Oryctolagus cuniculus: one gene and its partners. The protein of the gene in region 2 interacts with the protein of the main gene of each other region in a biochemical or structural test. Links are inferred from orthologs where the notes say so. Each region holds a gene or a part of one and is shown on either strand. Other genes may lie near its edges.

What was found.
Region 1: the proteins of TBP (region 2) and MSX1 form a complex in vitro, tested with the Homo sapiens proteins (2 studies listed by BioGRID). The link is inferred for Oryctolagus cuniculus from reciprocal best matches to the Homo sapiens genes TBP and MSX1.
Region 3: the proteins of TBP (region 2) and ESR1 form a complex in vitro, tested with the Homo sapiens proteins (2 studies listed by BioGRID). The link is inferred for Oryctolagus cuniculus from reciprocal best matches to the Homo sapiens genes TBP and ESR1.

What each region holds. Positions count from the first base shown.
Region 1 is NC_091433.1:4,416,372-4,420,117, forward strand, and holds the start of MSX1 (homeobox protein MSX-1), read right to left. Parts: upstream 2,761-3,746; 5' UTR 2,516-2,760; coding exon 2,047-2,515; intron 37-2,046; coding exon 1-36. UniProt on the Homo sapiens protein: Acts as a transcriptional repressor. Capable of transcription autoinactivation.
Region 2 is NC_091436.1:55,496-59,241, forward strand, and holds the start of TBP (TATA-box-binding protein), read right to left. Parts: upstream 2,390-3,746; 5' UTR 2,179-2,389; intron 1-2,178. UniProt on the Homo sapiens protein: The TFIID basal transcription factor complex plays a major role in the initiation of RNA polymerase II (Pol II)-dependent transcription.
Region 3 is NC_091436.1:16,248,097-16,251,759, reverse strand, and holds the start of ESR1 (estrogen receptor), read left to right. Parts: upstream 1-849; 5' UTR 850-984; exon of another isoform or gene 985-988; intron 989-1,250; exon of another isoform or gene 1,251-1,426; intron 1,427-3,663.

The DNA of each region.
Region 1 (3,746 bases), on a different chromosome or scaffold from region 2:
GCTTGCGCAGGGTGCAGGCCGGGGGGCTCAGCCGCCCTAAGGGGGACAAAAGGCAGCAGGTTAAGAGGGAGCGGCGTCCGCGCCCCCCAAGGCAGGAGCGGCCACACCGACGCCGCCCGCTGCTGCTGTTTACCTAGAGCCTTGGTGGGCAGCCCCAGGAAAATATTCTCAAAATCCCACCGCAGCCCCGCCAGCCAGCGGTTTGGGTCTACTTTTTGCAAACCGAAAGTGTCAGGTGGGCAGAACTAGACCCGCGTCCTAGGCTCCACCGCGGCTGGGGCTGGTGGCGCTGCCCCTCAGGTAGGCCCTGGCTGGCCGGCCTGCCCCACGAGCCCGCGCGCAGGGAGTTCACCGCGGTGGCGCGAGCCCAAGGCCACGTTCAGCGTTCAGCTCTTCCTTGCTGGCCACAGGGTTCTCTGTGCGCGCCCCCGCGCGCTCAGCCGCTCAGAGACTGCCGATGTCCAAGCCCCAGCTCATTTCCCAGGATCAGGGGGTCTGGGGCAGTCCCAGGAGTGGGGCAGGAAGGTGGCCATCACCGGAGCCCCCGTTGTGGTCAGTCCTCCCAAACAGTGTCATCGGGAGGGGAGACGGGGCTCTTGCCGCTCCCACCGCCAGCGTCTGGCCTCGGGCTTCAGCCACCCGCCGTCCGTCGTGGGCTGGCGTGGGCCATGGCTTCGGCTGGACCTGTGGCTCAGTGCACAGAGAGCAGCGGTGTCCAACTGTCTTTTTCTTTTGGCTTCAAAACAACCCTCAAGGATGGACAGAGTGAGCACCCGGCTGGAGGCCTAGCCGCAGGCCAGGGGCTGGATCGGCTCAGCGGGGCTGCTGGACACGAGTGGACCAAATCACTCCTGGGACAAGGTGGACAGGCGACCCTGGGGGCCTGAGGCCCTCACTGAATCCCAAGGCCGCTTTGCCTCGGCCACAGGTTTCCTCTTGAAAAGTGAATTCGGACTCGGGCTGTTTCACCATGCGGGTTTTGAATGTAACATTGTTTTTAGCATCACAACACAGAACAAATAAGATGATGATCCTTCGGCCTCCCGGGCACACCAGGATGTGGGTAAAACGAAATCTCGAGTTCAAACACCCTCGCCTCCCGGCACTGGGGGACTGGGACTCGCCTGGACCCGCTCCCCGCGCGGCCGCCCTCGGGGAGCAGTGCTGTCCAGGGCAAACTACAGCCGCGGTCTCCGGCCATGAGGCTCGGGGAGGGGCCGGCCTTTCAAAGACACGCAGTCCCCAGACAGAAATCGTTCTCAGCGCCGCGCCATTCAATCCGGGCCGCTATTATGCGGCGCCAAATAATCGGAGGAAGCGAGGAAAACTCGGGCATTTTCCGGACTCCTGAAATATCTCGGCGCGAGTCTGCGGGGCCCTGGAAGCGGCCCCCGCACGCGGCTGCAGCCCGTTCGGACACCCAGTCCCAGACGCCCGGGAACCTCGGGGAAGAGCGGAGGGGGCGCTTTCCCCGCCCCGCCCCCTGCCCTGAAAGCGGAGCGCCCCCTCCCCCTAAGTCAGCCCCTGCACCCAAAGAACCGCGGGCCCCGCTTCGGCCTTGGCGGGAGTTTGAGAAGAGCCAGGAGCCCCTAGGCGAGGGTCCTTTACACTAGGGGCCAGGGGCCAGGACTCTGGGAGAAAGTGAAACTTGGCGCCCGGAAAAGATGCCCGCGCCCCTCCGATGCAGGTCAGGCGGGGGGGGCTTAGAAGGGGCAGCAAGAGGGGCTGTCCGCGCCCCGGGGTCCGGCAAGGGACCTCCCCCCTCGCGGCATCGCGGGGCCGAGACGAGGGGCCCGCCGAAATGGACGGCGAGCTGCGTCTCCGCCAGGCCGCGCGCGCTCTTCCAGGGTGGGGGCGCAGAGAGGCGCAAACCCCAGCCTGCCCTCTCCGGGGCCCCGCGGCACTGGCTCCAGGTACCGGCGGCAGGTATGAGACGCCGGAGACGAGCAGGCGCCGGCGCGCGGCCTGGCGCCCTCGGGTCCTGCACCCCCGCTGGGCCCCTCCCCCACCCCCACCCCCGCAGCCGCCCGGGCGCTGGCTACTCACTGGCCGGGGGCGGGGAGAAGCGGGCGCTCTGCATCCACGGGGTCCTCTCGGGCTTTTCGGGGCTCTCGGCTTTGACGAGCGCATCTTCTGGCAGCTTCAGGAGTCCCCCCACCGAGAAATGGCCCAGCGGCCGCGGCGAGGAGGGGGCGTCCGGAGCGCCGAGTCCCCCGGGCCGGGCGCCCAGCGGTTGCGCCGAGCCTCCCGCCGCCGGCGCGCCCTCGGAGGCCGCCAGGACGCTCTCCTTGGCCCCGGGCTTCCTGTGGTCGGCCATGAGCGCCTCCACGCTGAAGGGCAGCAGCGAAGGGGACACTTTGGGCTTGGCCCCCTCCTCGTCCGCGCCCATGGCGGCCGCCGTGGCCGCAGCGGCGCTGGGGGCCTGGCCCGCGCCTGCTCCCGCCGGCTTGCCGAAGGCTGGGTCCTCCACTTTGACACCGAGTGGCAAAGAAGTCATGTCAGCAGCCGGGGCCATGCAGAGCCGGGCCCCCCCTCCAGCCGCAGCACGGGCCAGCCGCCGGGCATGGGCTTCGGGCGAGCTGGAGCGCGGCCGGCCTCTGCGAGCGCCCGGGGCCCTGGCCGGGCGAGCCCTCCCGCGCGCGCGTCCCGCCCCTCCCCAGAAGGCCAGCCCCGGCGAGCTGGGCCTGGCTGCCCGCCGCCTCCGCCGCCGCGCAGGGCGAGTTCCCGGGCGCACCCGCCGAGGCCGGCTCCGGCCGCCGCTCCCCAGAGAACTTGCTAATAAGGCGAGGCCGGCGCCGCCGCGGCCAATCAGCGCGCGAGGGGCGGGCCCGGGGCGATCCATTGGGCCGCGCTCCTAGGACTCGCCCCGCAGCGCGCGGGGCCGGGGGGCGCGCAGGGAAGGGCCGGGCCGGGGGAGGGGTGCCGGGAAGCTTCGGTCGGCGGGAGCCCGGCGGCCTCTGCGCGCCTGCCCCCCACATCCCGGGCCTCGCACTCCGCGTTCCCGGGGGACTGCTCGGCCCCTCTGCGCTCCCCTCCCAGCGCCTCTTCCCACCCCTCCCCGTTCCCACCCCCTTCCTGCTCTGCCACTACGTCTTTCTCTCCAGAATGGCAGCTTCCCTGGCCCCCTCTCCACGGCACTAATTAGAGTTGAGGTCATCTTTTTTTTTAAACATAGTCCCCCTCTCTCTTTTCTTTAAAGGCAGGGGTATTTATCCCAGGGGAAAAAAAAAAAGACACGCTGATTTCTTATCTAAAAAGACCCTCATTCTCTCCCCCCTTTCAATCTTGGAAACTTTGCCTCCTGGTCCGGGAACCTGGGCCTCGGTCTCTCCTTGGAGCTGGGCTCAAGTTTGCCAGCAAACAGCCCCGTTCCTGGGGTTCTGTGACTGCAGGGAGCCGCGTGTCACTGGGCGGTTTGCACCCACGAGGGCCATTCTCCCCCAACTCTGAACCTCTCCTCTCCGGGGGCCGGTGGGCAAAGAAACCGCCAGGTCTTTTTTGGTGTAGAATGTGTGTGAATGAAACCAACAGAAACGTCCGCACAACACTCATCGGGCCCCAAGGTGACCGCCAGCCGCGCGTGTGCGGGAGCCGCGCGCCCGGGTGTCTGGGTCTCGGGTGGCGCGAGGCAGAAGCGCCTTTCGGGGAGGGGGCCGCGGGAGCCGGGGCGGTTTTCCTGGCCGTGGCTCCTCGGCGCCTGTCTTGAACACTTGATGCTGCCAATTTCGAAGGAAACGTGATTTCAT
Region 2 (3,746 bases):
CTCTAATTCTTTCAAATAAATATAATAAATCTTAAATGAAAAAAAAAAAGCTTTTGGAGGAACACACCTAGATAATTCCCAAGGAAAATGTGCTATCAAGGCATAATATTTATGAGGCATGGTACACACAGCACAGTGCTAAGGCCAAGTTCAGGTGTATAAATATGCTGCTCAATTTTATAGCCTCTGTAATGTCTTGGACATAAAGCTCAATAAATACTGAGTTGTACCCAATATAGTTTGGCGTGAAAGAAGCTGTGCAGACACAATGATAAATAAGATATTTTTATAAATACAGCAATCTTACCTCTTTAGAATACATTAGCCACAAACTGTGCCTATATCTGGCTTTTCTCAATCATTTCTACCATCTCCTGAAACTACTTCCTGATGAAAGAACCAAGCGACTAGTGAAAAACTTTTCAGCACAGTTCACTCCAACGTGCTGGCTGTGAGAACTGACTGAGCACCATGGGGGTGGGCTGGCTGAGTTAAAATAAAACATCAAGTACAAACACAGAACAATGTTAGCTACCATTATTGGTTTTCATTCCAACATAGCGCTCATAGGTCTCAGGGGTCAAGTTGTTCAAAGACCCATGTGCACCTCAAGTTGTGCTGGTAGAGTAAGCACTCAGATGCATGCTGGATGAACGGAAGAATCATCACTCTGAGAGGGCAAAGGGCCCCAAAAGCTGTCTATCCTATATGCTCATCACTGAAAAACAGACACACACAAAAAGCTCAACTTCTGAAAAGAAATGTACCAAAGATGTAAGAAAACTGTACTTTCTTTAGACGTTGCTGTAGTAACAGAAGTGCTGTTGATGTACAGCCGAAGAGGACACTGTCGGCATCAAGTAGTTCCACGTGCAACTGCGTAACGACTGCTCTACTAGTAACAAAATCAGATACCCGCGAAGTTCATCTCAGAAACCAGCACGCACGCCTGTAACCTGTACCCAGCACCAGGTCTTGCCCATACAACAGCACTTCAAAGAACACACAGAGAATGGATCACAGATGTGTTTAGTCTGGTCCAAACGATTTTGAAATCTGTGTATAATTTTTCACGATACACGCTTTCCATGAACTTCTTGGAGAGCCCTTTAGTAGTGGCTCATGGGTGAACGAACGCACGTACGCCACAGAAGACGGGACTAACAGGCGAGTGCTCGCAGAGAGGGCCTGTTTTCACAAAGCAAGGACCGTGCAACCTGGGTCTGGCAAGGTGAGTAGGAAATCATGAATCAGCGGCTCTGGCAACAGAGAAATTAAACGAGAGACAAGGATGGAGAGAGCAGCGCGCAGCAGCAAGCAACTTGGGGTCACACGGGCAGCAGGCGCAGCACCAGCACCCCAGCTTGGCACGCGTGGGGATACATCGGGGCAGTGAAGCCGAGGGCCGCAAGCCCAGTTTCGGGGTCACTGTCACGGCTGCGGCAAGAGATGAGGGCAGGATCACAGCACCCAACTGCGACGAGGCTGTTCCAGACCCCTGTTCCGAGCGCTCCTCTCACTCCCGGCCACGCGCTCACCGTCTTCCCCTCCCTGCATACTGAAACTGCGTTAGGCGCCTTACTGCACTGACTCTCCCTTCAACAGAGGCTCGCGTGCAAGGTCTTCATCTTCCGGAAACCCAAGACCAGGCTGCGTGTCCCCTGAGGTCATCCAATGAACTCTGTCTACTCCCGCGTCCGCACACGCAGCCAGGCGGGATCCTCTCCCCGAGGGGCCTCCCTGGCCGTCTAAGGACAGAGGTGCGCGTCTGCCTCGGACGTCCACCGCGCCTAAAGCTCGGACTTCCACAAATCGTTAGCAAGTGTCACGCGCGACTGTAAAATAAAACCGACCCCTGCGGGTAGCGAAGCCAGCGGGCACCGGCCAGAGAGGATGGGCGGAGGGTGCCAGCCAGGCGGCGCAGGCTCCGGGTCTGCCCCACCCTCGTGCGGGGAGAAGCCGTTTTCCACCCACAGCACAGCCGCGCACCGGGATGGAGCGGCGGCCGAACGGCCGGTACAGGCCCGAGCGGCGGCGGCTCGAGCGAGAGGAACCTCGGTCCCCGCGGGGCCTGCGCGCCCATTCCGCGTCTCCGCCCGCCACCGCCCCTGGGCCTCGCTGCAGCGGCCGCCTCCGCCAGCGCCCTCGAAAAAGAGAGAGAGTTAAAGGGCCAGGTACCTGGGTGCCGGCAGAGATCATCAAGGGCCTGCGGAAGCGAAGTTAAGCCGCAGGCTGCTCAGGCCCCGCCACAGCAACCCTACCCGACCCCACCGAACTCCAGGCGCGCGCTGATAATGTCACTTCCGCCAGTTCTGTCCGCGGCGTCAGCAGGCTGCACGCGCTGAAGGCGCGGCCATGGTAAGTGTGGGCGCGGGATCCTTCCGGTTTCTCCTGGGCGCTGGGCTCAAGGGAAATGAGGGGCGGAGCTCGTCGGAGTTCCGGGGCGGGGCCTCCTCTCCATAGCCTTTTCTAATTGGTGCTTTCTGGAAGTAAGGAAAGTTAATAATTGAAAAAAGTTTTTTAAACCAACTAGAGGTGTAACCTTGGCAAGTTAACATTTGCCTCGGGGTCTTTTTATTTTAGGATGAGTTCTTTCTAGTCTAAACTTGTTTTCTCTTTGACATTTCTTTTTATTTTGAAAGGTAGACACAGACGCGGAGGAGTCCCCTCCTAGTGCCCAGAAAGCCCTGGCCAGGCCAGTGTCCCGCGTGGGTGGCGAGGACCCAGCCGCGGGAGTGACGCCCGGCGTCCCCGGGCGACGGCGTCGTAGAGCGGCCGCGGGGCCCAGGAAGTAACCGCGTGGGCGGTGCGCGCGTGCTCCTCGCCGCGGGTGTGGGCCGCTCCGCAGCACGCGGGGCACCGGGTTGCGGATTCGTCGGGGCTTTCATTCCGCTGGGGCCGTCTTAGCAGGCTTCGCACTGTCGCCACGCGGCCGTCGTGGTCTTCCCGGCCGCTTCCTTCTGTGGTCACTTGGACGCGACCACGGGGGCAGTTTGTGCTACCAGTGAGGTCCTGAGCTCCGGAATCCAGGACAGTGCCTGGCAGTGCGTTGACCTACGGAGACCAGAGCGAGTACAATACTGGACTTTGTCGAAGACAAAGGCCATCTCTGGCCTTGTTCTCCTTTGCAGCAAAGCACGGGAGAGTTTTACACAAGCCCTTTAAAAAGTCTTCTCTGGTTCCAGAATTGGATGTGACCAGAAGTTAGCCAAACTGGTTAGCCAATCGCTTGCTTGCTCGCATTTATAATGGAACAAATAAGAAAGTGCATAAAGACTTGCCCAATTAACAAACAGTTGTGTCAAGTGACTACTGCCGGCAGGACACCCTGCCACCCCTCGGTGTGAAGTCTGCGTCCTGCTCAGCGTCCTCCTGCGTGGAGGATCTGCTCCGCACCTGCCACTGCTTGCAGTTGGCTCCCTGTGACCCCACTCGGGTCCTCTGCTCATCCTGCCGAGGTGACATTCATTGCTTCCAGTTTGGGGCCACTGAGAGCCAGGCTATGGGAACGTCCCTGTGCGTGTCACTGGCGTGGGAGATGCCGCCGGGAAACCTGTCCGCGGATCCCAAGAAGTATGGGAACGTCCCTGTGCGTGTCACTGGCGTGGGAGATGCCGCCGGGAAACCTGTCCGCGGATCCCAAGAAGTATGGGAACGTCCCTGTGCGTGTCACTGGCGTGGGAGATGCCGCCGGGAAACCTGTCCGCGGATCCCAAGAAGTAAGCTTCTCTTGGAATCCCATCCCT
Region 3 (3,663 bases), about 16 Mb from region 2:
CCTGTCAACCTGCACTGGGTCACTAAAATACGGCAACAGAGACCTTCCCTCTGCCCCTTTCCTCCACCGTTCTCACTTCCAGTACATTGTCTTTCTTAAGACTTGTAGAAAAACTAATATATTTTTTAAAATGTCTTTTAAAGAATGTATTACATAAGCCGCAGTGGACTTTATAAGCTATTAAAGTTTCAGTACTTAAAAAAATTCATTAGTATTTTTGAGCCCATTTTCTACTTTAGTATGCTTATCTCCATGCTCAAAACAAACACAAACAAAAAGGCCACCACTTTATATCACTGCAGGAAATGCCAGGCATTTTAGGGGAGGATCATACGGCAGAGTTTAAAAGCCACAGAGGAGCTAAACGTGTGCACATCGCCGAGACCCTAATTAATCAGTGACGAGAGGAGCGGAGCAGGCGGTGGAGCCCATGGGTGAATAAGAAAGTAACGAAAAGGCCTGCAGAAGATATGGCCTCGCCCTTGCTTTCAGTTGTAGCCAATTTTGGGTGAACAAAATTTATGTCCTGAATGAATGCTTTATTAGTTTTTTCCCTACTTGATCCGTCTGTCTAGACTTCAAGCTTTATTTATGAGTAAAGAAAGAGTTGGCTGAATTATGTAAAAAATTGGGGGTAGATTAACGCATAACTCATCCCTTGTTAAACATCTATCTTCACGGAAGTGCTAGGAAAGTTACAGTTAGGCCTGGCTTCGAGAAAGGAAGGCCACCCCCTCCTCTATTTTTTTTTTTTTTTAAAGGAGACTTTCCAATCCTAGTCAAATGGTGGTGCTAGTTCTTTATTTTTGAGTTACTGCATTTCCTAATTTCATGGTCATAACAGCTTCAGAGCAGCGTCTACCAAAACTGAAAATGCAGGCTCCATGCACAGAAGCTCTTTCACAGGCTTGAAAGGTTCAGGCTCCTTTCTCCTGCCCCTTTCTGTAGCATAAGAAGACAGTCTCTGAATGACATTCTTCTCAAGTAGGTACTCCTATTTCTTCTTTCTTTATATTTTTCCTTGTGCTGTAATGTGCTACTGTTTACAAGCAGGCTGGAACCCCAGAGCTTTCCTCTCATGTGAAAAGCTGTTCATTTTTCTCATACCACCCCAGAATATTTTGCAAAGTTGCTGGCAACCATTGCTGCAATGTTAAAAATATGAACTCTAAACTTGGTACAGTGGAAGTTCACTTTTGGAGTAATATTCAGCTGAGTCAGAGGGCAGCACCATTACCCTTTGCTCAGTACAGCACTGACTAGCTTCCTGCCTGCCCTAGATATCCTATATTTGTTGGATCCAGCTCTTGCTACGAGATACTGTATGGCTGAACTGTGTCGGAATTTTGAAACTTCATCTCTGGACTGATGGTGCACCAGCATGAACTCCCTACCTGTTTTCTTAATCTTTGGTGCCGTAACTTATGTGAGTCTGAACTAAGCAATCGGAATGACCCTTTACTTGTTTCCTGAAGGCAGTCAGGTTTTCTACAAAGCTCCACAATCTAGCAATAACGCGAATGAGACAGCCTGTCTTGAAATCACCCTAAAATTTTAGGAAAGGGTTGTTGTTGTTGTTGTTGTTGTTGTTGTTGAATATTGCTGTCTTGGTTTTCTTGGAGGTGAAAAGAAAACTACTGATGACTTTTGGAGTAGGATGGTGTGTAATGACCCCACCACATAGAGTGTGCTATTCAAGTAAGGATGTGGGAGTCCCGAAAGACAGGGCAGGCTACTTTCGTTTTGGTGAGAGGAATGCCATATGTTTCAGGAACCTTAGTTTAAGTTGCAAATTTCATGTTTGGTCAAGAAGGAAATCATATTTTCTTTTCACAGACATGCCCGTAGATACTAAGATGATTAAAAAATATTTTAAAAAATTCCTTAATTTGGGTTGGGCCCTCTCAGGACTTTAGATCACCACACTGATTCCTGTTCAAAGGTGCGGTTTTATGCACCTCTGAGAATAAGTTTGCCGAACAACTGTAAGCAGAAGGTTGCTGGGAGACTCCTCTGGTTTTGAATGTGATTTCTATATGTACAAATTCATGTCAAGTGATTTAGGAATTCCAGGTAGAAGCATTTAAACAGAATTAAAATGTACAGAGAGCCAGATGAGATAAAGTTGAGCGAGAATGTCTGAGATCTAGAGTTTGAGAGCCCATTTCAGTTTCACAAAATTCCTTCCTATTTCTCAAAAGCAAATGTTTGCTATGATTTTTGTTACTGTCCTGTGAAGACTGCCCACTGGGCCTGGATATGTATGGATATAGTACTGTAGAGGTTGGATACAATACTGGAGAGGTGGTTAGATTTCCGAGGAAATTAGGAATAAATATGTATGCATCAGAGATACCATGTGCAGGGAAAATTCTAGATATGAGCACACAAAGGTTATATTTGTTGGCAGGATATTTTTCTCAGTTGCAAGTACTTGTATTTTTTGTGACAGTCAAGGAAAGGGGTAAAGTTCATGTGTTTTACACTTTCAGCAAAGAGAAAGTTAAACAACTCTCTGATTTCAGTGAACTGTTTCTCATCCAGTTAAGGATTTAGAGCTAACCAGATCCTATTCCTTTCCCCAAACACTCTACACCCTGTGTGCTGTAAGTGTTACACCAGGTACCTGCTGACCATTTTTGCTTGGTTGTCCATGGGTCATCTCTGAGTATTTTTCTGTTTTCGTTTAGTGCTGTTGGTCACAGCAGCTGCTGTGTAAAGGGCCAGGTGGTTGGGCTTTAGTTTCTTTTGAATAGAGAATAGCTTGGTTCCATGGTTGCATATTAGATACAAGGCAAAATAGGCAGGACGGAGAGTGACCAGCTCTGGGGAGACCATCATGTTGTTTATAAGAACTTACAGCACACGCTTCATCCATGGCACCTGAGCTGTGGTTCTGTTCTACCACCTTTAGTAGGGCTGGGTCTCCATCACTATCCCCTAAGAAAGAATGTGAAGCCCGCCTCACCCCTGCACAGTGTCTAATAAAGTGCTCTTTTAAAAGACAAGTGCTTCACTGTTCGCTTTTGCTGCGATGATAGTGTTGGTCGTGCGTTTGCTTTCTGGGCACTGTCTCAGTAGATTTCTTCTGAATCCTTCTCGGTGGACCACAATATAGTGAAACCTTGCATGTCAGTGGATTTTCTGGATCTTACCAAGCAGTGAAAATTTTGTTTTTCTTTTTGAATGTTTGTGACTATTTTGGAGGACAAATGGGGTTGCCCTATTCATTCATTCCTCAAAATATTTTGCCGCATACTCTCACTACTTTCTAGGTGTGCAACTTATTTCACCTCTGACCTCAAATTTCTCATCTGCAAAGTACGGATACTAACAGTAGCTACTAGATATAATCATGTGGAATAAATGAGATTAAGCCACTCCTTAAAAGTCTTTTTATCTTCAAGTGTTTGAAATTCAATATGAGGAAGGCGTTTCACACCACTTCTGGTACTCAGAAAATGTTGACTGAGTACATGAATAAGAACTTAAGAACTCCAGGTCAGCACCACAAGTGCTAGGATTTTAAGTCCGTGTACCATAGTGGGTGGGAACTTGACCTGAAAAGTTAAGGGCAGTCACTCCAGCTAGCTATGCATGGCACCTGTTGAAATGCTGCTGCTTGTTAATGGGTATAGGTTGGAGGAGGAAGCCCGGAAGCCT